7 linked regions of the Mus musculus genome follow. The protein of the gene in region 1 purifies or fractionates together with the protein of each later gene. This does not show direct contact. Links are inferred from orthologs where the notes say so. Each region holds a gene or a part of one and is shown in the gene's direction. Other genes may lie near its edges. The genes, in order: Rpap2, Pfdn2, Polr2m, Polr2d, Uxt, Polr3e and Med19.

Region 1 (3,500 bases):
TGCTCTAGGCAAAGAACGAGAGTCTAAAGTCTCAAAAGTTAATGAAGGTTCCTACCTTCACGTGAACACATGAAAGTTTCTAGGTTCCAGATGTGAGAGAGAAGGGTAAGACCTGGTGACCAACAGAGGTAGTTCTGGTAGGTCCCAACCTAGAAGAAGAGCGAGTAAGTCACCACAGCACTGTATCCTGAGCGTGACAGTGAATCTCCCTTCTGTGCTTCTGTCCTATTCTGGTTGACTGGGCCTGTTGTGGGACCTGGACATGGTGTCTGTTCTTGGTGTGCAGCTCAGTGAGGCTGTTTCCTGAGATAGCTTCGATTTTTGCCTTCCGTGTGTGTGTGTGTGTTGGGGGAGAGGGGGGGACAGAGCACTGATGGGACCCGTGGTGGCTATGGCAAGGGTTCCTCGACTGCATTTCACATATCAGGATAGTTATTTAGTAGGACTTTATAATGAAGGTGAGAAAATGCTGCTCTTCTTTTCAGACATAACTGTTCTAGTAAGCTGAGCTACCACAACTAGGCTGTTGACAATTTTTTGAGTGAAAGAAAAGTAGAAATCATCTCTTCACCCTTCATTCTGTTTACTTATGTGACAGAGAAAAAAAATTTTTTTTACTATGTATGGCAAAACTACAAAAGGAAAATTTATATATATAAATTTTGTTATAAAATTTATATATATACTCTTTTTTAAAAATATAACTTCATTTTATGTAGTTCACACTTGCCTTAGACTCTGAATCTTCCCACTGCCTCCTCCCAAGTGTGTAACTGTGGCATGTACCACCATGTCCTGCCCAGCCCTCCTCTACTGGAGTCTATAAGTGTTTCCTTGTTCTCTGAGCCTAGAAGTAAGTCCTCGTGGCCAGCTTCCATGTACACACTGGGAAGACCAAAAAGTATTGGATCAGAGGTGGAGAGTTAAAAGCTCATTTATTGGCAAAATAGTAGGCCACTAGGTGGCTTTTAAAGCACGGAGTGTTGAAGGTAGGAGAAGTCTTGAATTGGGTTAACTTTCTCATTAAAATTTCAGGCAAGCAGAACTGGAAGCTGCTATACAAAGGAAGGTGGAGTTTGAAAGGAAAGCTGTGCGCATCGTAGAGCAGCTCTTAGAGGAGAACATCACAGAAGAATTCCTGAAGGAGTGTGTACGTGTTCAATGGTCAGACTACCAGATTTAAAATAGAATATCTATATTTAAAGATTTATTTGTGTATATGAGTATTGTACTTGCTGATTTTGTTTGTTGACTTGACAGACAAAGGACCAGAGGAAACAGAACAGGTAAGTCAAAGAAGAAAAGGAAAAAGCCTCAGCTGAGGACACGCCTCCATGCAGAGGACCTAGCCCACAGTGGGTGGCTCCATCCCTGGGCTCTAGTCCTGGGTTCTACAAAAAAAGCAGGCTGAGCAAGCCAGGGGAAGCAAGCCAGGGGAAGCAAGCCAGTAAGCAGCACTCCTCCATGGCCTCTGCATCAGCTCCTGCCTCCAAGTTCCAGCCCTGCTTGACTTCCTGTCATGACTTCCTTTGGTGATGATCAACAATGTGGAAGTACAAGCAGAATAAACCATTTTCTTCCCAGTTTGCTTTTTGGCCATGGTGTTTCATCACAGAACTGATAACCCTGACTAACAAAAATAGACAAGCTGATGCCATAGTGGTGTATTTGCTATGGCAGACATGGTTTGGGGAGGATTGTGGAAGGACTTTGGAACTTTGGGCAAGAAAAAGCCATTGAGAGCTGAGAGCTCAGTGGATGATCTTTGGGAGCTTGGAAGATAAGAATGTTGAAAACAGTGCAGACAGTGAGGCCTGGCTTGTGAAGTTTTAAGACTCTGGCCGTTTGCTATTTTGGATTAAGATTCTGTGGTTCCGGTTAGGTGGGGCTAAAGAACCAGCTGTGATTTAACAAGAGCTCAGAACTACTAAATTGAAGCCTTTGCTTTGCTGGGATACTTGATGCTGGTCAGCTGGAGCTGAGAAATTAGCAGTGATCAAGAAGAGACCAACATTATTGAGATAAAAATCTTCTGGGAAGTGTTTCCTGAGAGCACAGGGAAGCTGTGTTCCATAGGTGACCATGGTTGTACCTTGTACTGGCAGCCAGAGTCACCCAGGTGGTACTGCTTTTGAAGACATGAAGGGATCATGAAGAACAGCTGAGGTTTGGCACTGTGCGACGCCAGGAAAAGCCATCGGTGAAGGTGCAACCCAAGACTGAAAGGATCATGCAAAGAAGTTGAGGAAGAGAGCCATGAGGGACTATTGGTGAAAGTGCATCTCAGTTGCAGTAGAAGACCCCAGTGTTTCAGAGATGCCAGTACTGTGGGAAGACTACCATGGGACAGCAACAGCAGTGGAGTGGAGCCAGCCTGAAGGCAAGCAGTATGTGCTACAGAGTGCAGAGCTGGAGAAATGACCCAAGCCCTTTGGAGGAGTACAGAAGACTGTGAGTGGATCCCAGACATTGGACATGACCAAATAGGAAAAGGCTTATTCTGCCTGCACTTTCATATTGCTGCTCATCACCAAATGAGTCAGGACAGAAACTCAAGCAGGGCAGGAACCAAGAGGCAGAAGCCTATACAGAGGTCATGGAGGAGTGCTGCTTATTGGCTTGCTCAGCCTGCTTTCTTGTAGAACCAAGACCACAGCACAGGGATGGCTCCACCCATGGTAGTTACCATATGTCAGCTCAGCCATCTTTTCAAAGTGTTTAAAGTAACAATGTTACCGTATGTATGTCAGACCCTTCTTGATGTCAGTTCCTTCCTGTGCTCCCAGAGCTCTCACAGTCTGTTGGGAAATGCCCTCTTGTTTCTCCCCAGGGCATGTTCATCACACCAGCTCACTACAGCGACGTTGTGGATGAGCGGTCCATCATCAAACTCTGTGGCTATCCTTTGTGTCAGAAGAAGCTAGGGGTTGTAAGTACTTTCCTTTAAAGTATATTTATTAATTCTTACAAAACATCACAGAGTAGTAAGTTAAGCCTGTGGTCATGAACTAATAATAACTTGGATTGACCAAAAGTATTAATTGTAAATGACTTAATTGTATATAACATAAAGTTTGTGTTCCTTAACTAAATTCTTTTGTAAATTGTACTTTATTTTTCTTTAGATCCCGAAACAGAAATATCGAATTTCTACTAAAACCAATAAAGTCTATGATATTACTGAAAGGAAGGTAAGTTCAGAGCTATTGAAAGTGGCAGTTAATTTTTAAATGAAATTGTACAAAACTTTAATTTTTTTACTTTAAAATTTGTCTGTTAGAAAATAGCTATATTTACAGGTTGTTTCTGTTAAAAGCTAAGGTACTAAGAAAATTTCTTGCTTGAGCTTTAATAAGACTTGAAGCTGGGTGTGGCAGAGACCGGAGAGTCAAGGGTTAGATTTATTCTCGGCCCTGCAGCAAGTTTGAGGCTTCTCTGGGCTACCTCTCTAGCTCAAAAATGATTTGAACATTTGAAAACATGAATACATGCTAGTATAA
Region 2 (4,120 bases), on another chromosome or scaffold:
CAGGGTTTCGTGCAATAAAGTCAAATGCCTCAGGCAGAAAGGCCAGGCAAGCACCCAGTCTGGCAGCCTCTTGAACCAACTCAGCACATGTTTTAAAGTTCTCTTGCTTGTTTGGTGTTGATGTTACCTGGCACACAGCCACCAGGGGCAGCTCCCAGGAAGTTGATGAGGACATGGTTCTGGGCCTGTGAATGACACAGGCAGTATCCTCAGATTTTCTATCTAGGAGAAACTCAGAGGCTCAAGTGGGGGTGGAGCCAGAAACTTTATTTTCTTTTGACTTTTTTCTTTTTTGAGACACGGTCTTTTGTAGCCCAGACAGGCCTTTCTATGTAACTGGGGATGACCTTAAACTCCTGGTTGATCCTCCTTTTTTTCGAGTGCTGGCATTACAGGTGACCCCAGCAACTTGTTTTCATTCTTACAGAGCATAATAACCCTAGAGCTACTGGAGTTCACTCATTACATGTTTGGAGATATCTTTGTCTCCCACTATGAAGTTAATAAACACGAACTAAGCAGCTATGCGCCAGAGAGAGAACATTACGAAATATGTTACCTGGGCTGAGTACAAAGTACTGGGGTTCGAAGTAATCGGTATCCGGTACACAGGAGTTGGTGAGGAGGCCTGGTGATGAAGCCCAGCCTGAAGAAGGTGAGAAATCAGGACACCTAACCCTCTTTCAAGCCGTAAGTTTCTAGAATTCTCTGCCATTTCCAGGCCTGGCCAGTAATCCCCTCCCCCAAGGCTTCGAAAATACTTTTTACTACTAGTAGCTAGGAAAAGATATAAAATGGGAAAATGGGAGAGGCGACTATGATCGGTGCCTTAATACCTCAACTTCCAGTGATCTCACATTAAAACTGAAGCCCTTTTTCCTTTGCCAAACGTTTCCGCAGTTCAAGTCATCTCATGGAACCTTCCTCGTTTCCCCAATTCTCTTCTCGGCTGTGCCACCTGCACAGCTTTATAGACTCAACACGTATCTTTCCCCTTATACCCGAATCTCAGAAGGAAAGTTCACCCTCCCTAGATCTCCACCATCTCATGGTGGGTAGATGGGTACAGGACCAGATCCCAACCCGAGCCCCCGCCCTCTGATTAGCGCGTCCTTCCCCGCCTCTCCCCCCCGGGCAAGAATCTCTGTTGCACAAGTTAAAGCATCGCAGGTGGAATTCACCGCAGCGGGCAGGGTTTGGGAGTAGGTCCTACATGAAGACACAGCCAAAACCATTCACGGGGTCGGATCTCAAGAGCTGCCAGGAGCCAGGAGCGCAGGAGCAAGTGGGCGGTAACCCCCCGGCCGGATGTGACGCAGTGAGAGTGCGCAGGCCGGAAAGCTTGCAGGTGGGGAAGATGGCGGACAGCAGCGGTCGTGTGGGCAAGAGCGGCGGGAGCGGCGCGGGGAAGGGGGCGGTGTCGGCGGAACAGGTGAGGAGCCGCGAGCGCACAAGGCACCCGGGGCGGTGTCGAATTCGTGTAGAAGATAAGATTTGTGGCTCGAAGGGGCCTTTAGTCCTTTCCACGGTCTCCATGGGCACGCACGGGGGAGAGGGGGTCTCTGGAGGTGATCACGAACCTTTCTAGAGCCTGGGTAGGTAGGGGAGAGGCACGCCCGCGGTGTGGGTGGGTAGTCAAGGGAGAAAGCCCTGAGCTGCAGGGTCTGGGAGGGTTGGCCAGGTCTCTGAGAAGATGGATCGTAGTTTGCCCCCTCTCCGAGGTACCCTAAAGAGCGTATGGTGTTTGGCGTGGCATCTAGTAACGAATTCCAAGCTGTTCTTAGTCAGTGAGTGGCTTATGTAGTTCATGGCTCAAAAACCGTGTTCACCATCACCAACACGCTGCAGAGCCACGTGACTCAGACTCTGAGCAGTTTAGTGTTCCGTAAATTATTTTGACTAAGGAGTCTGTGGTTTGTTTGTTTGTTTGTTTTGTCTTGGAGGTGGGGATGAGGGTTGCTATAGGGTCGGGTCCGGCCTTGGCTTTTCCGGAATTCACTTTGTAGACCAAACTGGCCTGGAAGATCCGCTTGCCTCTGCCTCCCACATACTGCGATTAAAGGCTCGGATTATTTCGTCTTTGAGACACGGTCTTACTAAGTGGCCTACGCTGGCCTCGAGCTTGCTCGGTGTGCTCTCTTTGCAAAGATTGACTTCGGAAGAGGGCAGAACCCACCCCCCACCCCCTCTCTCTTTCTCTTTCTCTCTTTCTCTCTTTCTCTCTCTCTCTCTCTCTCTCTCTCTCTCTCTCTCTCTCTCTCTCTCTCTCTTTCTTTCTTTCTTTCTTTCTTTCTTTCTTTCTTTCTTTCTTTCTTTCTTTCATGTGTGAGTACACTGTAGCTGTCTTCAGACACTCCAGAAGATGGAGTCCGATCTCATTACGGATGGTTGTGAGCCACCATGTGGTTGCTGGGATTTGAACTTTGGAAGAGCAGTCGGTGCTCTTAACAGCTGAGCCATCTCACCAGCCCCAGAAGAGTAATTTTAATCATAGGTACATTTGTCAGTTGGTTGTTGAACAATTCCTACAGGTAAAAGCATCAGCATAAAGAGTCTAAAACCCACACTGTCAAAGAGTTAGAAAGTAAGTGTTCAGGGAGAACTGAAGTGCAGGGGAATTCTGGAGATGGAAGAGGGTGTAGCCTCTGACATAGTGGGAAGGAAAAAATGCTAATGCTTTGGAGAGTCCGTCTTGTGTTTGGCTTTGCTTAACCCAGAGGAACAGGTAAATGAAATAGACCTTGTCTTAAACTTGGTCACAGCCAAGTGTGGTGGCCCATACCCATAATCCCCCTGGATTACCCTGTCAGTTCCAGGCTAGCCTGGGTTACAGAGTAAAACACAGTCTCAAAAACAAAACAATGAGACTTTATGTGTGTTTGCATGTGTATGTGCATATACCACATGTGTGCAGGAGCCCTCAGAGACCAGAAGAGTGGTCAAAACCTCTGATAACTGCCTATTAGCTACCATGAGGGTGCTGAGAACCAAACCCAGGTCCTCCGCTATAAAAGTAATCGTTCTTCCACCGAGCCATTTCTCCAACCCTACACTACAAACTTCTGCACATAATGAACTTTTCTTGCACAGTTTGGAGAGAGAGTCCAAAGTAGTGTAGATTTCGGATGTGGCAGGTAAGTAGGCAAGGGAATGGCGGGTAGTGGAATGGTTGGGAGGGTTTCCTGGCCTAGAATCAGAATGACCTGTGCTTGCTTTGTATTTCTTATTTATATATGATTTCTCTTGTTACCTTTTACCCTCGTCTATCTGTAAAAGCACAGTAGTTTTCCATTTCGTAACTAGAGTACTAGGCAAGAAAATCCATTTGGGTTTTGTTTTGTTTTGTTTTTTTCCACCATGACTAAATACAGAGACTACATAGTGTGTTTAACAAATGCTACTTAGAGCTGGAGAGATGGCCTCTGCACTCGAGCACCTGATCTCGCACAGACAGACACACTTGCACGCACATAATCTGAACAGTCTTTCTAAATGCTAATTTCCTTTTATTTTCTAGATTTTTTGGCTTAATTCTAAAGGCTGGGAAAAGTTAGTCATGTGAAGATTTTTTTTCGTTAGAAGTAGTGTGTTCAAAAGCATTGAGCCATGAACTGCTTGGCATTGAAAATGCTGGAGAATTTAAAGAGATATATTGCAAGACCTAAAGAGATACAGTCAACTTTGTTCTTTGACACAGGGTTTTTCACGTGGCCTAGAACTCACCAGGTAGGCTAGGATGGCTGACCAGAGAGTCCATTGATCCTCCCTTTCCTCAGCACTGGGAAAACAAGCCTCAGAATTTAAGTTCACTAGCATTCCAGTGCCAGGCAGTTCATGCCTCAGTACCATGCCTGCCTGCCTGCCTGCCTTTTTTTTCCCTCCTCCTCCTCCTCCTCCTCCTCCTCTTCCTCCTCCTCTTCTTTTTTCTCCTCCTCCTCCTCCTCTTCCTTCTTAAAAAGTGTGTTCTGGGGCTCAAACCCTGGTTCTTTGGCTCTTTACCTGTGAAATTTTCTTCCCAGCCCAATTTAAGGTTTATTACTGATGTGTGTGTTAGCCTAGTGTGTCTCTCACAAGGAAAATAGGAGCAGGTAATACTTCGTACTAGGTGCTTGTTTTATTT
Region 3 (4,146 bases), on another chromosome or scaffold:
TCCAGAACTAACTACATGCTGTGGTCTCTTAGATCTCTTAGCAATGCTTCAAAGATAATTGTTTCGAAGTCCATCAGGTATAAGTGTTATAAAAACAATGAAATGTGACTCTCCCTGAGAAGCCCATGCCCATCTCTGGGTATATGTTCCATTTGAGCACTTTTATATCTCTGAACACTCATACTTAGGCCTGTATGAAAATATTTTTTATTAGACTCCTATTCTCCTAGTCCTGAATATTTTCAGCATCAAAGTTACAAACCCTGGTTTGAAATCCCTAAAAGATTAGAGGAATTTCTCAGGCCGTGGAAGTCAAGAGTGGAGCCGTTCTTCCTTTCTATTCCCTTTGTTAATATGGCTTAATAAGCCCACTCTTAAGAGAAATGAGAGTTTATGTTGACATGAACATCTATTAAAAATGTTGACAGTGACTTGATCTGTGATCATTAAGAACTGAAAACAACTCAAATATCCTTCAGCATAAACACACAACTCACAATGCAATACTGCCTAGCAATAAAAAAGGGGCAGGGCAGCAAAGCCCGAATCAGAAACTGTCCAACTACTTGCCAAAGACGCTGTACTATTTTGCATCCTCTGCTCCCCCATTAGCAGTCTGTAGGAATCTCAGTCGCTCTTCATTATTTCCAACAGTTGACATGGTCGACCTTTCTAATTCCTGATATTCTGACTTGCTCAAATATTCAAATCTTGTTTTGTTTGAGACAGAGTCACTTTGCAACCTCGAATTCACTATGTAGATCAGGCTGGCCTTGAACTCAGTCAGCCAGACTTAAAGGCATGCACGACCATACCTGACTATATTGTTTCTAATATGCATTTTATTATAGCTAGCTATATTGGTCACTTGTTATTTTTTGAAGACTAAATTATGTTAATGTGTGTGTGTTTGTGCGCAGGTGTCTGGAGAAGCCAGAGTTTGTGAAGTGCCCTGGAGCTGCAGTCTAAAGGCATTTGTAAGCTACCCAACAGGGGCACTGGTACCCAAACTCTGGCATACTGCAAAAGCAGTATGCCCTCTTAGCCACTGAGCCATCATTATAACCCCGTTATTTATTTTAACTGTGATTAATGTCCATTCAGGAATCCCTGTAAATTTTTTGTCCAAAACTTTGATTGCTTAATCGTAGATGCGACGCTCTATTACTTTCGTCATATTTTACTTATTAGAAGTGAGTTTGTAAGTCTTTGACTTGAGTGTCCTATATTTCCCAGTGCACAGGCGAAAAGCCGGGAAAGCAAAAGGCCCATCCAGAGAAAGCCCGCCAAACCCAGACGCCTTGGCGGTGATGTAACTTCCGCCCCTGCACGCTTCCTCGGGCGTCCCCTCGTCCTGGCCTGTCCGTTTCCGGCATTTCAATAAAGCTCCCTTCGGCTCGGAGAAGCCGTGCTCTTCCGGGAAAATGGCGACTCCCGCTCGCGCTCCAGAGTCGCCGCCGGCCGCGGAGCCAGCGCCCGCCGTGGGCCCCGCCGGGGATCCCTGCCCGCCGCGCCAGCCGCAGCCCGTGCGCAATGTTCTCGCTGCCCCGCGGCTTCGAGCCCCCAGCTCCCGAGGACTTGGGGCGGCAGAGTTCGGCGGAGCTGCGGGAGAGGTTGAGGCGCCAGGAGAGACTTTTGCGCAACGAGTAAGCGGTGGCCCTGGGGTCGCGGTTGCGGGGGATCGGGATCAGGGAACAGGCTCTCAGGGATCGGGATCCGGGGACTTGGTCTCCCGCCCCGCCCCGCGGCCTGGCGCGCGAAGGTGACCTTGCGTGGCCAGGCCTCCCGAGCCAGGCCTGTCCTGTGCGCGGGCATGGCTCCATGCTGCCCGGCCCTCACTCGGCAGCCGCGCCTGCTCGATTTCATGTTCGCACTACAGCTTTGAACGAGCTCCGGTACCAAAGCCTCTTGATCGGAACGTGTGGGATTTCCTTCTCTCTATCTGAAGCCCCACTCTTTCCCCAACCATAGATTTGGAGAGCGGGCTGGAAAGTTTGGTTCATGCGTAGTGGGGAGAAGATGATAGCTGATTGCCTAAAGGCAGCTTTGTTTAGGAACAGGATTGAAGGAAGACGCCAAAAGGATATTTTCTGAGAGGTTTTTTTTTCAGCAAGGAGGGAAAAATGGACCATGAAGGCAATCGAGGGATTGGGGGAACTGGTGTAATAATTTGGAGACAAATATATATTAATAGTTAACAGGTGGTTGAAGTTTCTGGGGAGCAACAAAGAATAATGGGAAAATTGGGAGAGAGGGATGGATTTTAGGTTAATTTTTTATTTTGGGCGTATTCAGTTGAGGGAGTAATTGCAGGCATTTAGTTAATTAAAAGCCAACCGATTAAAACCCAGAGGAATGAGTATTAGGCACAAGAGAGAGAAGGCTGAAAAAAACCGAGAGGAACTCAGTTGCAGAGAGGCATTAATACTGTTGAAAACGTGGGAATAAATGTATCAGGAAAAATAGAGGACCCAAGGTTTAGCCCCCTTCTCCTGTTTGTTATATAACCAAGGAAAAGAACCAGAAAGGGAATTTTTGTCACTGAGGGAAAGGAGCCAATGACCATTTGGCAGGAGGGGTTCCTACTAGAAACAGGTAGGTATTTTGACTTTTCAAGATTGGGTTGTTAATTTTAGCAGTGAATTAACCTTCTGGTCTTGGAACATTTTTATACTCTTTAAGAGTTATTTGGCATCTCAAAGAACTCCTGTTTATATATGCTGAGTCTAGAAATATTAGCAGTTTGCCAGAAGCAACTGAGAATTCTTTCAAACACAGAACCACATAAGCAAGTCCATCTTCCTTTGTAAGATAGTGATGTTATCCCATTATGTAACCTCTGGCATTCCTCAGTTCATCGGGGTTCAGAGACCATGGCTTAAAACCCACTGGTCCTTATCATATATTTATTGTACAGGCTAACCATGTTTTCCTAAGTGCTTAAGACCATTATTTTATATTTTTAGGAGGCTTGGAATGTATGGGTAGAGTTAAGACCCAAATTTAAATATAAGTTTCAGTTGTTTCTTACACATGGCTTGAAGGTAATTTTATACCATGTTCCTTATAGCTTGGGGGGGCGGGTTGAGGGGTTCAAGACAGGGTTTCTCTGTGTAGCCCTGGCTGTCCTGGAATTCACTTTGTAGACCAGGCTGGCCTCGAACTCATAAATCCGCCTGCCTTTGCCTCCCAAGTGCTGGGATTAAAGGCGTGCGCCACCACGCCCTGCTCATAGTTTGGGTTTTGACTACACCTCATCATCCTGTGGTCAGGTGTGAAACTTTCCACCCTGAGAGAATTTCATTTCCCATTCAGAGCACTCCCTTGGGGGAGGGGTTAGAATAATTTTACGTGTTTGGTTATTGTCTTAAGCCAGATTTTTTAAAAATCAAAAAAAATTTTTTTTAAACTTTTAAGAGCCAGCTTTTCTTTGATTCCATTTTGCCTTTTAAATACTGTGTTCCCCATGTTTAAAAACATGCCTGTAATATGTATGTGCTGGTTTCTTTTTTTCCACTCCACAGAAAATTCATTTGCAAATTGCCCGACAAAGGTAAAAAGATCTCAGACACAGTTGCCAAACTGAAAGCTGCCATTTCAGAACGTGAAGAGGTTAGAGGGAGAAGTGAACTGTTTCATCCTGTTAGTGTAGACTGTAAGCTAAGGCAAAAAGCAACCACAAGAGCTGACACCGATGTAGACAAGGCCCAGAGTTCTGACCTGATGCTTGATACTTCATCATTAGATCCTGACTGTTCCTCAATAGACATTAAGTCATCTAAATCAACCTCAGAAACACAGGGACCTACACATCTCACTCACAGAGGCAATGAAGAGACTTTGGAGGCTGGCTACACAGTAAACAGCAGCCCAGCTGCCCACATCCGAGCCCGGGCGCCCTCATCCGAAGTTAAGGAGCATCTCCCCCAGCACTCTGTTTCAAGTCAAGAGGAAGAGATCTCCAGCAGCATCGACAGTCTCTTCATCACTAAATTGCAAAAAATCACAATTGCAGACCAGAGTGAACCCTCAGAAGAAAACACCAGCACTGAGAACTTTCCAGAACTGCAGAGTGAGACTCCTAAGAAGCCTCATTACATGAAAGTGCTAGAAATGCGAGCCAGAAACCCAGTGCCCCCTCCTCAT
Region 4 (2,543 bases), on another chromosome or scaffold:
ACTCAACCTGTGACCTCTAAAAAGAGCATCACTTAACTCCCGAGTTCCCTCTCCAATGCAGCGTGTATATGCCGCCTTACCCTGCTGGGCTCTTTTCAGGGTTCTTGGCTCTGCCTGCTGTTTTTCATTTGTTTTTTTGTTTTTGTTTTTGTTTTGTTTTTTGTTTTTTTCTGGAACTTGTTGATTTTCTGGGGTAGGAACAGGAAGTGACTTCAAAGGAGGATTCTGATGCCCACATAACCATAATCAAATATTACAATCTCCTTTTTGCTATTGATGAATGATTAGCATTTGACCGACACTGAATGAGAACATAATTTTTTTTGTTTTTTGAGACAGGGTTTCTCTGCGTAGCCCTGGCCGTCCTGGAACTCACTTTGTAGACCAGGCTGGCCTCAAACTGAGAAATCCACCTGCCTCTGCCTCCCAAGTGCTGGGATTAAAGGCGTGCAATACCACGCCCGGCCTAATTTTTGTTTTTTATTAGCATATAACTACACATAGTAATGGGTCCCACTGTGACATTTTTATTCAAGTATATATTTTGATCATACTTATTTCCCCCCATTACTGCTCACTTCATCACAGTCTTTCTGTGTTTTTATTTTCCGCTACAATCAGCTTGCTTCTCCAGAAAAAGTTACATAAGTTTGAGTTGGCCTGTTTAGCCAATCTTTGCCCGGAGACTGCTGAAGAGTCCAAAGCTCTGATTCCAAGGTTAGTACCGGATGGGATAGATTTCTGTCTATTTTCTATAGATTTCTATAAGTCAAATTGCTAGAACTAAAAGTTGTATGCATTTAATATTTGGGTTAATGACATGGCAGCATTGAATAGGAATGTAGTTGAATGGTGTTTGAGATAGGATTTGGGGATTGGTTTTGTGGTTTGTTGGTGGTAGTCTCAGGTAACCAAGGCTTTCCTTGAACATCTTGATTGTCTTGCTTTCACCTGTCAAGGGCTGGGATTACAGGTGTAAATGGTCATGCTGGCTTAAGAATAGTTTGAGTTGCTGGGCAGTGGTGGCGCACGCCTTTAATCCCAGCACTCGGGAGGCAGAGGCAGGCGGATTTCTGAGTTTGAGGCCAGCCTGGTCTACAGAGTGAGTTCCAGGACAGCCAGCCAGGCTACACAGAGAAACCCTGTCTCGAAAAAAACAAAACAAAACAAAATTAAATTTACATCATGTGTGACTGTTGAAGCTTTTAAAAATCTTTTTTCTATTTACAACTTTTTAGTGCTTATATAAAGGAATGTCAAAAACCATTCAGTTTAAACTTCGAGGCAGTAGAGCTAAGCGAGCTGCTCGGAGATGAGCCTCCTTTGACAGACTGGGGAAACCTCCAGCGGCCAAGTCACTTACATTTCTTGGTTTTCTTACAGCCTGGAAGGGCGTTTTGAAGATGAGGAGCTGCAGCAGATTCTCGATGACATCCAGACGAAGCGCAGCTTCCAGTACTGATCCGCAGACGTCACTCTGCTCCTTGAGTTACAGCACCACGGTCTGAAGCCTGGGGAGGCCTCATGCAGGAACATTGCTTCAGAAGACGCTGGAGCTTCTTTCGTAGTTTTTGCTTCACTGCGAGAGAGTGTCTCTCCAGTTCTCAAAGTCATAACAGTCCTCCTGCCTCAGCCTCGCAGGTGCTGGGATTACAGGTGTGAGCCAACACTTTCAGCTTGGCTTCTGGAGAGGAAAGAAAGGCTGGCTATTGATGCTGTAGGTGCTATCTTCACAGTGACTGTTAGACCATAACTACCATCTGCGCTCCTTGCAGCCTTTTAAGGCTGCTGTGGTCAGGCAGGCTGCCATCCTGAACTGCTGAGGTAGAATGATGTTCAAACATTCGTTGACTACTTCGTACCGTGGTTTTTTTGGACCCCATGTTACTATTTTTTTGTTCTTGACACTTCAGATTTTAATGTCAATTATTTTGTAGTTTTTGAAGCTAAAATGATATATAAAAAACTTGCATAGGAGAGGAGTGTTTTCACTTGGTTGTAAAGGGGAGAAATAAACCAGAACACTGTTTTTTTTTAAAAGAATTGTATTTATTTGTTAATGGGGAGAGGGTACATGATCCATGGCACATGTGTGGGGGGCAGGAGTCAGTTCTGTCCAAAGTCTTGTACATACTAGAAAAGTGCTGTACCATTGAGCAACACTCTAGCCCAGAAGTTGCTTTTGTTTGTTTGTGTGTTGTACATATGTATGTGCAAGTGTGTGCATCTATGTAAGGAGACTAGCAGAGGACATTGGGTGTATACCCATATTTCTGTCCTTTGAAATGGGCTCTGTCTCACTGAACCTATATCTAGGCTGGATGACCAAAAGCCCCAACAATCCTGTCTTCACTTTCTCTTTTTGCTTGTACCTTGGGGTTCAAGGCATGTACAGTGGGAACACAGCAGTCTTTTCACTAACGGTAGTGCTAATGGACAGACTCAGGTCTTCATGCATAGCACATACCCTTATTCACTGAGCCAGTCCCCAGCCACCCTGCAATGTTTAAAGAGTGAGAGACAGTTGACTAAAAGAACTTTGC
Region 5 (4,242 bases), on another chromosome or scaffold:
AACAGCAGTAACCTACAAGCCGCCGTGCAGAGTGAACTCAGGCTGTCAGACTGGTTAGCACCGTTTAACCAGTGAGCCATTTGGATAACCTAAAAGTATCTTTTAAATTAAAGAAAAATTACATGAAATATGTTAATAAACTTAACAGACCCAACTCTAGTCTATCTAAACTGTTCTCCTTAGCAAATAAAGATTAACTAATATTATATAGCTTCCTAATATCTGCTTTAAGCACATCAAATTTACTTTTAAATACATGTAACATCAAATTTTGGTTTTGGTTTGGGGGACAAGGTTTCTCTGTAGCCCTCATCATGGACTGCATGCCACCAAGCAGAAATTCATTCAAGATAAATTTCTTAAAATTTGTCTCCATTTAAACATTTTTATGTGCTCTTATTCATTCCCTTTATGGAGGGTGAAAACCAAACAATGTGTGCAACATATATTTTTTTCAAACAGATCCCCACAGGATATACTGCCTTCCTTATAGATTAGTACCATAATCCTTGCTGGTCTATAGGCACTCTTGTGCTTTTAAAATTATTAAATGCTTAAGTGGTCTCAGTGAGTTCTTTTGGTTTTGATTTGGTTTGTTTGTTTTAAAGAGAATATGAAATTGGAGGAAAATGTGGTAGGAGGAGTCTAGGAGGAGTTGGAGGGAAAAGGGAGTGGAGATGATGAAAATATATTGCATACATCTATGAAACTCTCAAAGAATAGAAATGTTTCTAAAAGAAAAAAATAGGGACTATATAGATACCTCAGTAGTTAAGAGCACTGGCCAGTCTTATAGAGGACCCAGGTTCGATTCCCATTACCCACATGGTGCACACAAACTGTTGGTTGCTCCAGTTCCAGGGAATCCCACAACTTCTTCTGGCCTTTGTGGGCAATGCACGCATGTAGTCCATAAACATGCAGACAAAACACATAAAATAGGAAAACAAATGTAAGAGTAAGGAGGGGGGAATACAGAAATGGCTCATCAGTTAAAAACACATAAAACTTGCAGAGAATGTAAACTCCATTATCAGCACCCACATCATGGTAGCTCACAACTGCCTATAAGTTCAGTACCAACGCGCGCGCGCACACACACACACACTTCAAATTACTAATTATAAACACTTAACTCCCTCTCCCTACCTTCCTGTAAGTCCACCCTCCCTCAGAACCCGCCAAATCTCATTGAACGTCACCCAAACCAGTCTCCCGCCAGCTCGCGACGATCCGCCTGCTGGCAGACCGCGGCGTGCCAGGCCCATCTAGATCCATAGGATCCTGCTACCTCCAAGGATTCACTCAGGCCCCGCCTGCAGCCCTTCCCCTAAGTGCATCTTCCCACACGCCGGACCGCCCCTCCCATCGATTTGGTTGGCTCCCTTGCTGGAAATTACATCATCCATCCGCGCCACCCGGAAGCCGCGGCTCATACTAACAGTTATTGCCGGTGGCCCTACGGTAAACGCCGTACTCCTGTACCGGTGAGTGAACGAGTTCCAAAATCGGGTTGGGCAGAAGCAACTCCGTAGCTCGAGCCGAAAGAAGTCATCCCCAACGTTGAGTGGCTGGAGAGAATTTTGTGAAGTTTAAATAGAGCGCTCAACGTGCCCCCCCCTTTACTCCCCCAGGTGCCCGTCATGGCGACGCCCCCGAAACGGCGGGCCTTGGATACGGTGGGGGAGAAAGTGCTGCGGTACGAGACCTTTATCAGTGACGTACTGCAGCGAGACTTGCAGTGAGTGACAACGTGGGAGGCGTGACGTTTGAGAAATTTCACGTGGTGGGTGGGACAGAATGCCGACCAAACTTTCGGATTGGCCGCCCAGACTTCTGGGAATAGGGTTGACTTCTGGGCTGAGATGTGGTTGGAACTTGTCCCTTTAGCAGAGCTCTGACCTTGTTTGTTGGTTTAAAATAGTCATTCCGAACACAGGGTGTTTCTGACTAGGCCATTTAACCAATATTTATGAACAAGTTGTACCTTACTTCACCTTTGTGAACTTTATTCATCTGTGAAATGGAAAAGTTTATTAGGCCTTCTTAACGTGGTGTTTGAGTTTTAAATGTGTCAACTCCGGCACTTGGGAGCCAGAAGCAGGAGGATCTTTGTAAAGCTGAGAACCAGTCTGGGCTACAGACTAACTTTCTCAAAGGGAGAAAAAAATAGAATAAAGCCAGGCTCAAGCTCCATGGTGTGTGCCACTTCTAGTGGAGAGATGGGAAAATTCACTTGTTTAGCCAGGATTACAAGCCAGCCTTGAAAATAGAACAATATTCTATTTTAAAAAAAATCCAGTGTGGTGACACAGGCCTGCAATTGCTGTACTTGGGATAGTGTCAGGAGCAGGATGACCCAGAGTTGAAGGTGATCTTCACCTACATTCGAGGTTGTGTATAGCCTGGGCTTTGAGATTATGTCTCAAAACAAGCAAACTAGGGCCAGCAAGATGGCTTGCCTCCAACCCCATGCCCTAAGTTAGATCTCTGGGACCCACATGGTGGAAGAAAGAAAGACTCCCAAAAACCTGACCTCTGACCTCCAGGTATGTATCATGGCACCCATACATGTACACAAAATAAACACATAAATGCAAGTAAGAACACATTTTAAAAATGCAGATAAACCCCACTATTATTATATTGAGGCTGAGAGGAAAGAATTGTTTGGTGTGTTTACAAATTCAATACTTAGCCTGAGAAACTCAGATATTGTCTTGGGTAATAAAACAAATAACCTAAATAGTTGTTTTAGGAAAGGAATTTGACCCCAGTGCCTGAAATACACTAAAGACTCAACAACTGGATGATTGCTATTGCTGTCATTACTAATCTGAATAGAAAGTTAGGTATTTAGAACTAGGACTGTGTGAGCATGCTAAAAGAGATGGAGAGGTACATTTAGGGTGAAGATGGGACATTTTAATTGGCATAAGTCACTGAATAAAATGTAATATTTATAATTATAATAGGTAACAAGTATATAATGCTTACCATTTGGCTAGCATTTAAAACACTTTGTAGTAAACACTCGATTCTAATGACTCTTATGTGCTACTACGGCCATCTCTGTTTTCTATGTGAAGAAACTTAATCCTAGGTAGGTTTTCTACTTTCCATAGTCACATTCCTAGTAAGAGGTAGAGGTCAGGCTGAACTACAGTCTGACCTGTATTTATTGAAATGCCTGCTGTGTCTCTGTCTATACCCCATTGTGTGTGTTTTGGAGGAGGGGAGCACGGGATCTCACGATGTAGCACAAGCTGGTCTTGAGCTCAGAATCCTCCTGCCTCAGCCCATGAATTACATCCATGTCAACCACAACCTGACTTAAAATGCCTGGCATCTCAAGAGGAATAAGGCTGCCTAATGTTCACTGTTGTATTTCTACATATCAGAAAGGTGCTGGATCATCGAGACAAGGTATATGAGCAGCTGTCCGTATATCTTCAACTAAGAAATGTCATTGAGCGACTCCAGGTAAAGGTTTTTAAATTGGGTACCACTTTGTGTATGTGTACAAAGAAGGGAGGCGGGAAGAAACCCCAAGAACAAAACCTTATCTGCCTTTAAAATTGCCCGCTGACACCTACCTCTTTTCTCCTGGCCCTATAGGAAACTAATCACTCGGAGTTATATATGCAGGTGGATTTGGGCTGTAACTTCTTCGTTGACACAGTGGTGTGAGTATATTCTCTCCCCTCCTGAGTTTCTCCCTTTTTTCATGGAACAAGTATTTCTTAGTATTTTCTATATACAAGGCTCTAGTAGCTTTTATATTTCATTAGGATATGAGCAACATGTTGTGGGTGTGGCCAAAATGAACACAAAGTATCTGCCTTTACAGAGCCTTCATTTTGAGAAACAGGAAGGAATAGGAAACACCTTAAACCATACAGTGTGCTAAATAGTAATAAAGACTTCTTCCACTTCCTCTGACCTCTTTCCTCAGCCCAGATACTTCACGCATCTATGTGGCCCTGGGATATGGTTTTTTCCTGGAACTGACACTGGCTGAAGCACTCAAGTTCATTGACCGAAAGAGTTCTCTCCTCACAGAGTGAGTGCATTCCAAGAGGATAGTATCTAAAGCCACTACATTGGCTAAGGGTACAGGGAAGTGGTAAGAACATTTGCTTAGCATGTGTGAAGCCCTAGGTTCTATCCATATCACACATCACACAAACACATACACAAAATATATAAAAGCCAGATATGGTAGTTCACACCTGTAATCCC
Region 6 (3,500 bases), on another chromosome or scaffold:
TTGGGAAGGACACTGGTCACTCTTGCGTCTAGGTAGGGACCTGGCTGGGAGTGTCCCTGGGGAGCTGTGCCATGGCACTTTCCAAGTTGGGTGGTGCTTTGTACCTTCAGGTAGAGCTTGAGATGGCCATCGACACCCTGAATCCCAACTACTGCCGCAGCAAAGGGGAGCAGATCGCACTGAACGTGGACGGTGCCTGTGCTGACGAGACTAGCACATATTCCTCGTGAGTTCCTGCCCCCAGGGTCCCTCCCACTGAAGGTAAAGGTTAAAGAGGAGTCTCTAGTGGCCTCAGGCATTGGGTCCTTTCTGCCCTTTCCCTGGGATCCCAATCATGTCAGGTCTCTACCGTTAACCAAGAGTGTTGTTGGCCTTCCCTCCTACGTTGGCTTATCCCAGCGGGTGCCCATCATTATCCCTTGATCCCTCAGAGCTCTGGGTTTTCTCATCCCTTAGTCCTAGCTAGTATACATTGGATTGACAAGGCTCTGAGAATAGAGGAAGCGTTCCAAAGTTGTATCACAAGTGCTCACTTTTAATCCCAGCACTCGGGAGGCAGAGGCAGGTGGATCTCTGTTGGGATGGAATAGGGTTGGCCGGCTTCTGTAGAGCATCATAGCCCTTGACACTAATTCTCCTTGTGTTCCCAGAAAGCTGATGGACAAGCAGACCTTCTGCTCCTCCCAGACCACCAGCAACACAGCTCGTTATGCCGCTGCACTCTACAGGCAAGGTACCTGGGAGAGCTGGCTATACCCTGGGAGAGCACGGGGAAGACTGGGCCTGAGGACCTCATCTAGTCTTATGTGTGCTGTTGGCTGCTACTGAACACTAAACTGTGCAGGATCAGGGCAGTGTGGAAATGAAAAACTATGGAGTCAAAGCACTGCGAAGAGGACTTTGCTGGGCACTTCCAACTTGGTAGAGTTGGAGCTTCAAGTCAGTTTGCTCCTGGGAACACATATGCAACATAGCATAGTATTGGACAGGCTGCAGAATTTTGTCCTTTTAAGTACATGCTACTTAGAACCAAGCAATCCTATTCATACATGGGCAGCATGCACTGAGGACAAATAGAAATATGTGTATATAAAACCTTGGACACAGATGTTCATAGGACCTTATTCATGAGAGCCAATGAATGGAAACGGCCCCAAACCTATCACGTGATGCCTGCGTAAACAAAATGTGCCATATCCACAGGACATCTATAAGGATAACAGACTTATCTGCTCATGTGAAAGAGCGAATCCCTGATGAATGTATGCATCCATGTGGATGGTAGAAATCATGCTCAAAACACTGCATATAGCCAGGCATGGTGGTACACACTTTTAATCTCAGCATGCCCTTAATCCCAGTGCTTGTGAGGCAGATGCAGGTGGATCTCTTGAGTTCTGGACCATCCTGGTCTAAATAGTATATAGGACAGCCAGGGATATAGAGAGAGACTTGTCTCAAAACAGACACCACTAACAACAAAAAAATGATAGCGAACTACGTGCTTTAATTTTCTTTCCTATTCCTGTGACAAAACACCTTGACAAAAGCAGATGAGGGAAAAAGAGGTTCACAGTTGCAGTTTACAGACCTTCCTGAGAGGCTGAACCAGCAGGAAGTAATTACACAGTCAAGATGAGAGCAATGAATACATGTATGCATGTAGTACTCGGCTTGCTCTCTACACTCTTGTTCAGGACCCTCTGCCCATTGTAACAGTTCCACCCACAGAGAGTGTGCTGTCTCGTTAATCACCATAATGCGCCACAGACGTGCCCCAGGCTAACAGTCTAGCCACTCTGACTGAGACTCCAGGTGTTGTCAGGTTGACAGAGCTAACCATTCTACTATATCCCCAAGGGCAGAAGAAGGTGATCATGGGAAGTACAGGTTCTTTTTGAGGTGTTGAAGATGTGCCAAAGCTGAGAGTGGCAGAGTTGCCACAATTTTGAGACTATATTAGTGTATATCAAGCTGTGTGCTTCAGCTGGGGGTGTCTAGTGTGTCAGAGCACACTCCGCACATCTGTTGGCTGCTCAAGGTACTACATTCAGCACTTGGGCTTTGCAAAGCAACGAATGACAGGCTCTGAGAAGAGAGGAGACATTCCGAAGTGTATCACTAGTGCTCACCTTTAACCCCAGCACTCGGGGGCAGAGGCAGGGCGTCTGGTATATTACACGGTACGTCCAGGACTTCTAAGGCCATGTAGGGAGATCCTGTCTCAAGAATCCTGTTGTCGTCCATAGCTACTGTCTTGTTCTGAACTACAGCTCAATGCTGCAACACTACCCACCCTCCTGCCCCCCGCCCCCTTTTTTTTCTTTTTCTTTTTTTTTTTGAGATAGGGGTTTCTCTGTAGTCCTGGCTGTCTTGGAATTCACTCTGTAGACTAGAGTGGCCTCAAACTCAGAGATCCACCTGCCTCTGCCTCCCAAGTACTGGGACTAAAAGTGTGTGCCACCACTGCCTGCTCATCTGTTGTTAGATTTATTATGTCTGACTGCTTTGTCTGCACGTGTGTATGTACATTGCTTGCGTGCCTGGTGCCTGCAGAGTCCAGAATTGGAGTTAGGAGTGCTTGTGAGGGGCCGTATTTGTGCTAGGAATCAGATGTGGGTCCTCTTGAAGAGCAGTAAGTGCTCTTAACTGCTGATCCATCTCTCCAGCCCAGGAAGCTATAATCCTTGCAGCCAGAGACATATTAGTTAAAGGCTATGCTGTCCTCTAATGGACTCTGGTAGGGTCTGGCAACAGCACTATAGCAGAGCCCAGAGGGAAGAGTGGGTGAGTTGTGCATTGTGGATAGAGGGAGCAGTAGGCATGAGGTTGGAGACATGACATGGCAGAGAGTGTAGAGAGGCAAATCTCAGGAAGTAGCCTTGAGCAGAATCAGGCTCCTGCTCTGGGCGTGCTTAGTGTGTCTAGTTGGAAACAGCTCCTGACCTGGTCTCCTGAAGAGGCTAAATTGGAATTGGAGTTGGCTTGGTGTTGTAACAGTGAGTGTAGGCCTTCTGGGGGACTTGGTGTTTCCTTTGAGCAAGTTGGGTATGTCGGCTTTGGGTTGTAGCGGCATGTTCAAACCCTTCTTCTTTTGCCAGGTGAGCTCCACCTGACACCTTTACATGGCATCCTACAGCTTCGGCCCAGCTTCTCCTACCTTGATAAGGCAGATGCCAAGCACCGAGAGAGGGAGGCAGCCAATGAGGGTGAGCCTGCTGACAGCCTGTGGTCTGAATGAGCTCACGTGAGCACTTGACAGAGATCAGGTGGTGGGATTCTTACTGACATGCCAGGCCCTTGCCTACTAAATACCACATCTGGGACAACCAAAAAATGTCCCCACAGATGGCCAGACATCACCTGAGGATTAAACTGCTCCAGTTGAGAGCAGGGCCCCTTGCTTGGCGCTCTTGAGGGAGGGTTATGTTGGGGCAGAATGAGCAGTCCCAGTAGAGACTGTACTGACAGCTTGCTTTGCAGCAGGGGATTCTTCTCAG
Region 7 (4,191 bases), on another chromosome or scaffold:
TAGAAATCCTATATAGACCAGGCTTACATCAATCTTAAAGAAGTCCACCTGCCTCTGTCTCCAGAGAGCTGGGATCAAAAGGGTACAACACAAAGCCTGGCAACAGTACTGTATCTTTAATGTAAACAAAGTTAATCTTATTTGAGAGTCCCAGAACATGTGAGGCCTGCCCAAGGTTATATCAATACCTTTAGGCCTTAAGTCCTGGTCATTGCTATTTTAGCATAAATACCTGTATAGGTATTTATTAGCTCTATGTCCACAACCTTTACGGCAAATGTTAATTGTTCTTACATACTGCTTCTTAGATGGTTGAGGGGCCTCCCTCCCCACACCTCATATTTTTGTAATCTTCCCTGTTTTTCTATCCCACCGCAGGAAGATAGTGTGCATAGTTACTATGCCCAGAGTATTCGATTTTCCATCCAAGTCATTTATTTTGTTGAGTCAGCGACCTTCGTCTGCCAGTCTATCAGAGAATTGAATAAGGTTAGACAGCACTTTCTGAACGCTGCGTTTCCTTGGGAAATCGCCTAACTACACTGTGATCACTTCGTTAAAAATTAAACAAAAAAAATTTAATGGTATTTCTACTATTGGCCTTTTCTTCACTGGCGCCCCAGGTAGCTTGGAATCACTGTAGAATACTGTTCATCTGTGATGGAAACCCTGTAATCTGTTTCTCCATCTTAAACACGGAGGTTATGACTAGATAACGGCCTAGGCTCTGCACTCAGTCTGTAAGGCGGCTACATCCCGAAACCTGCTCCCAGATTTTCACATGCACCTGCAGGGCAGGGATGGTCAAGGTCGAGAGCTGGTAAGGCAGGGGGCGCTCACCCAGTCAAAGTCACACGGGTTGCCATCTTCGCGTTGCGTGGGGAGACCATTGCAAATCGGTGGCAGTTTCCTCACGAGGAGGAAAGCAATGGAAAGCAGAGCAGACAGAAGGCAATAAGGTCGGGCCAGCCATCGAGAAAGCCGCGGCACCGAGTACACCAAAGCAATCAGAGGCGCAAGGACAGCCATCTTTCCTGCCTACTCTCTCGCAGGCTCACTCCCGCTCCCCAAATCTTCGTCCTCCGCCCCCACCAGCAAGGCTTCTATTGGACCAAATATCAGATGCAACGCCTCCAGACCCGGATGTAGATCTCTTATTGGATGCTATAATAGATCAGAAAATGAATTAAATAGTCTATTGGTCCTCATCGTTGTCGCTTTTCTAACTGAGTCATTTTATTGGCTATTAGTCTGCGAACCACCTTCCTAACCAGTCTCTCAGGCGACGGAAGTAAGTTGCCGGAAGATGGTAGGCGGGGCTTAATGTATCCAATGATGGGACACTCTTAGACGAAGAGGGTGGTACCCTGTGAAAGTACTGTCCAATCAAAGTAATTAACGCCCGATCCCGGGTAACCAGGAGCGCAGAGTGCTATGGAGAACTTCACGGCACTGTTTGGAGCTCAGACTGACCCCCCACCGCCACCAAGCGCCCTAGGCTTTGGGCCTGGAAAGCCACCCCCGCCACCCCCTCCTCCTCCGGGAGGTGGTCCAGGCGCAGCCCCGCCCTCGACGGCAACCTCGGCCCCCGCAGGAGCGGATAAGTCGACGGCTGGAAGTGGCCCCTTCTACCTGATGCGGGAATTGCCAGGTGAGTAGTAGGCCAAGAGTAGCCACTCAGATTGTAGTTCAGGTGAGGGTGTGGCTAGCCTGTCCCGCTAGGTGTGAGATAACAGGGCTACGCGGGGCCAGTGGGCAACAGTGTCAGAAGCCCTTTGGCGATTCACAACCCTAAGGGATAACTTGATTTTCTGGGGTGGGTTTGGGTTGGGTGTGAATATCTGGGACAACCTTCAGCGAGAAGTTCTGTGATCCGGGTTCTCTGACTGCCGTTTGTGACTCTATAAAAACGTGAGCCGTTGTTTAGAACTCGGGAGACCCGATTTAACATTTCTGGAGACACTTAAGATTTTAGTTTAAAGTCTGTCACAAACTTGTTGGTTTGTAGCAAGTTGCCTTCCTTGTCAGGGACTCGGAGATTAACCTGTTCAAAGAAAGGATTAGAATTGAATCAATTCTTACTTTCATAAAATTATTCGGGGAAATTGTGGTGGTGGGGGGCGTGGCTCAGTGGTAGAACTCTTGCCTGCCTTGCAAAAGGCGTCGCGTTCACAGAATCATTTCTGAGTAGGTAGCATTCAAGAATAAACAAAGCCATCCCTGTTTGGATAGAGAGGAGATACTAGGTACAAGAAACTAAATCAGGAGACCTTGGGGGGCGGGGCTTAGAATATCTGAGGGGCAGAAGACACATTGGACTCAGGAAAGCGGAAAAAATCCAGTAGTGATGGGAAATAGGTAGAGGCTTTTATAAGGCAAGGTAGGTTGTTTAAAGTTCAAATTGAAGTCATTTCAATATAGGTGCAAAATGATCTAATTTAGTGATTTTTAGATATCCAGCAGAAACATGAAAAATGAAAATAGGATAATCAGAAGTTGCCAGTCAGTGTTCAGAAAAGGAATGGTTTGGACCAGGGCTTAGTGGTCGGGAAGCAAATGAATACAGGATACATGTTAAAGGTAAAGCCTACAGAAATAAAGAACTAAATATACACAGAGAGAGGAATTGTGAGTGTCCTGTACAAAGGGTACAGTAGTCTGAGACTAGGAAGGCATGGAAAGAAAAAATTTGAAGAGCTAAAACTTAAGAGGCGTTCTGGACATGTTAAGTCTTGGGGAACTTGTAGTACTCCATACCAGCACTCAGGAGGTGAAGGCAGAAGGAGCTATAGTTCAAGCCCAGCCTAGGAGACATGAGATCCTGCTTCAAAAAAGAAATAAAAACCTCAGTTATCCCAGTATTTATTAGCAAAATAGTTTGAAGTTCACATCAGTGCAGTGTGTAACAATATGTAATACTTACTATAGTCCTTTTAGATAGATAGGTATTGTCTGTATTTTTTAATTGAGAACTGAAGCATAAAGAAATGACTGTTAAGGCAGTTTTCTTTTTCCTTATTTTAGTTGTTTTTTGTTTTTTTTAAAGATATGTATATGACTACACCATTGCTCTCTATGGACACACCAGAAGGAGGCATCAGATCCCATTACAGATGCTTGTGAGCCACCAGGTGGTTTCTGGGAATTGAACTCAGGACCTCTGGAAGAGCAGTTGATGCACTTAACCACTAAGCCAGCTCTCCAGCCCATCTTACTGGGTTTTTGAGACATGGTCTCACTCAGTAAGCCTGGCTTGTCTCAAATTCATTGTAGACTAGGCTGGCCTTGAACTCACAGAGATCCACTTGCCTCTACCTTCAAGTATGTACCATCATGCCCAGCTTCTTCCAGCAGTTTATCTTTTGCATTACCTGTTCTAATTATACCATTAATAGATCAGTTGATAAGTACTGAATATCCAAGGTATGGTGGGATTATGAGAAGTAAAGATTATATACATATATATATGATTTATTTATTTATTATATGTAAGTACACTGTAACTATCTTCAGACACTCCAGAGAGGGCATCAGATTTCGTTATGGATGGTTGTGAGCCACCATGTGGTTGCTAGGATTTGAACTCGGGACCTTCGGAAGAGCAGTCGGCACTCTTAACCACTGAGCTATCTCACCAGCCCCGAGAAGTGAAGATTATTAAGCCTAGTTTTTAGGTAGCCTATTTTTTGAGATCCAAAATACATGGTTTAAGGATTGTGCTTATATTTTGTGGGTGTCAGTCTTATTTATTTATAGTTCAACACAGGAAGCAATGTTAAAAACTACCTGATAGTTTTCAAAATGTGTTAGCCAAAATGACAGCAAGAATAAGATGTCATTTGAACTAAACACTGAAGAATTTATATAGGTAAACAAAATTAGAAAGTTGTTTTCTCAAAGGAAATAGTGTTACAGTTTTTTGTTTGTTTGTTGTTTTTTGTTTTTCGAGACAGGGTTTCTCTGTGTAACCCTGGCTGTCCTGGAACTCACTCTGTAGACCAGGCTGGCCTCAAACTCAGAAATTGGCCTGCCTCTGCCTCCCAAGTGCTGGAATTAAAAGTGCCACCACTGCCTAGCTGTGTTACAGTTTTGTTGCTGTTTTCTACCCAGAAGATAATTAGATCTGCTGCAGACCCTCTGGTCCCGCAAGATCCATCTGGATACATTAGAAATTTTGCATGGAAGATTAGT

The links.
Region 2: the proteins of Rpap2 (region 1) and Pfdn2 purify together in Homo sapiens (co-immunoprecipitation; 3 studies listed by BioGRID and IntAct, with this or other methods). This does not show direct contact. The link is inferred for Mus musculus from reciprocal best matches to the Homo sapiens genes RPAP2 and PFDN2.
Region 3: the proteins of Rpap2 (region 1) and Polr2m purify together in Homo sapiens (affinity purification with mass spectrometry; 3 studies listed by BioGRID and IntAct, counting the BioPlex papers as one, with this or other methods). This does not show direct contact. The link is inferred for Mus musculus from reciprocal best matches to the Homo sapiens genes RPAP2 and POLR2M.
Region 4: the proteins of Rpap2 (region 1) and Polr2d purify together in Homo sapiens (affinity purification with mass spectrometry; 5 studies listed by BioGRID and IntAct, counting the BioPlex papers as one, with this or other methods). This does not show direct contact. The link is inferred for Mus musculus from reciprocal best matches to the Homo sapiens genes RPAP2 and POLR2D.
Region 5: the proteins of Rpap2 (region 1) and Uxt purify together in Homo sapiens (affinity purification with mass spectrometry; 4 studies listed by BioGRID and IntAct, counting the BioPlex papers as one, with this or other methods). This does not show direct contact. The link is inferred for Mus musculus from reciprocal best matches to the Homo sapiens genes RPAP2 and UXT.
Region 6: the proteins of Rpap2 (region 1) and Polr3e purify together in Homo sapiens (affinity purification with mass spectrometry; 3 studies listed by BioGRID, with this or other methods). This does not show direct contact. The link is inferred for Mus musculus from reciprocal best matches to the Homo sapiens genes RPAP2 and POLR3E.
Region 7: the proteins of Rpap2 (region 1) and Med19 purify together in Homo sapiens (affinity purification with mass spectrometry; 3 studies listed by BioGRID and IntAct, with this or other methods). This does not show direct contact. The link is inferred for Mus musculus from reciprocal best matches to the Homo sapiens genes RPAP2 and MED19.

What each region holds. Positions count from the first base shown.
Region 1 is NC_000071.6:107,600,696-107,604,195, forward strand, and holds part of Rpap2 (putative RNA polymerase II subunit B1 CTD phosphatase Rpap2), read left to right. Parts: intron 1-1,035; coding exon 1,036-1,150; exon of another isoform or gene 1,151-1,161; coding exon of another isoform or gene 1,162-1,164; intron 1,165-1,260; exon of another isoform or gene 1,261-1,286; intron 1,287-2,598; exon of another isoform or gene 2,599-2,830; coding exon 2,831-2,929; intron 2,930-3,125; coding exon 3,126-3,191; intron 3,192-3,500.
Region 2 is NC_000067.6:171,344,355-171,348,474, forward strand, and holds the start of Pfdn2 (prefoldin subunit 2), read left to right. Parts: upstream 1-1,320; 5' UTR 1,321-1,357; coding exon 1,358-1,432; intron 1,433-4,120. Other genes in the region: Nit1 (deaminated glutathione amidase), read right to left, coding at 1-185, 560-646, 1,214-1,215. UniProt on the Homo sapiens protein: Binds specifically to cytosolic chaperonin (c-CPN) and transfers target proteins to it. Binds to nascent polypeptide chain and promotes folding in an environment in which there are many competing pathways for nonnative proteins.
Region 3 is NC_000075.6:71,483,184-71,487,329, reverse strand, and holds the start of Polr2m (DNA-directed RNA polymerase II subunit GRINL1A), read left to right. Parts: upstream 1-1,346; 5' UTR 1,347-1,533; coding exon 1,534-1,646; intron 1,647-2,371; exon of another isoform or gene 2,372-2,595; intron 2,596-3,524; coding exon 3,525-4,146.
Region 4 is NC_000084.6:31,794,667-31,797,209, forward strand, and holds the end of Polr2d (DNA-directed RNA polymerase II subunit RPB4), read left to right. Parts: intron 1-621; coding exon 622-717; intron 718-1,383; coding exon 1,384-1,462; 3' UTR 1,463-2,043; downstream 2,044-2,543. UniProt on the Homo sapiens protein: Core component of RNA polymerase II (Pol II), a DNA-dependent RNA polymerase which synthesizes mRNA precursors and many functional non-coding RNAs using the four ribonucleoside triphosphates as substrates.
Region 5 is NC_000086.7:20,959,179-20,963,420, reverse strand, and holds the start of Uxt (protein UXT), read left to right. Parts: upstream 1-1,442; 5' UTR 1,443-1,487; exon of another isoform or gene 1,488-1,571; intron 1,572-1,634; 5' UTR 1,635-1,643; coding exon 1,644-1,741; exon of another isoform or gene 1,742-1,745; intron 1,746-3,401; coding exon 3,402-3,483; intron 3,484-3,618; coding exon 3,619-3,686; intron 3,687-3,955; coding exon 3,956-4,063; intron 4,064-4,242. UniProt on the Homo sapiens protein: Involved in gene transcription regulation. Acts in concert with the corepressor URI1 to regulate androgen receptor AR-mediated transcription. Together with URI1, associates with chromatin to the NKX3-1 promoter region.
Region 6 is NC_000073.6:120,927,778-120,931,277, forward strand, and holds part of Polr3e (DNA-directed RNA polymerase III subunit RPC5), read left to right. Parts: intron 1-110; coding exon 111-226; intron 227-650; coding exon 651-733; intron 734-3,101; coding exon 3,102-3,209; intron 3,210-3,471; coding exon of another isoform or gene 3,472-3,483; coding exon 3,484-3,500. UniProt on the Homo sapiens protein: DNA-dependent RNA polymerase catalyzes the transcription of DNA into RNA using the four ribonucleoside triphosphates as substrates.
Region 7 is NC_000068.7:84,677,011-84,681,201, forward strand, and holds the start of Med19 (mediator of RNA polymerase II transcription subunit 19), read left to right. Parts: upstream 1-1,391; 5' UTR 1,392-1,434; coding exon 1,435-1,651; exon of another isoform or gene 1,652-1,818; intron 1,819-4,191. Other genes in the region: Tmx2 (thioredoxin-related transmembrane protein 2 isoform a precursor), read right to left, coding at 841-1,029. UniProt on the Homo sapiens protein: Component of the Mediator complex, a coactivator involved in the regulated transcription of nearly all RNA polymerase II-dependent genes.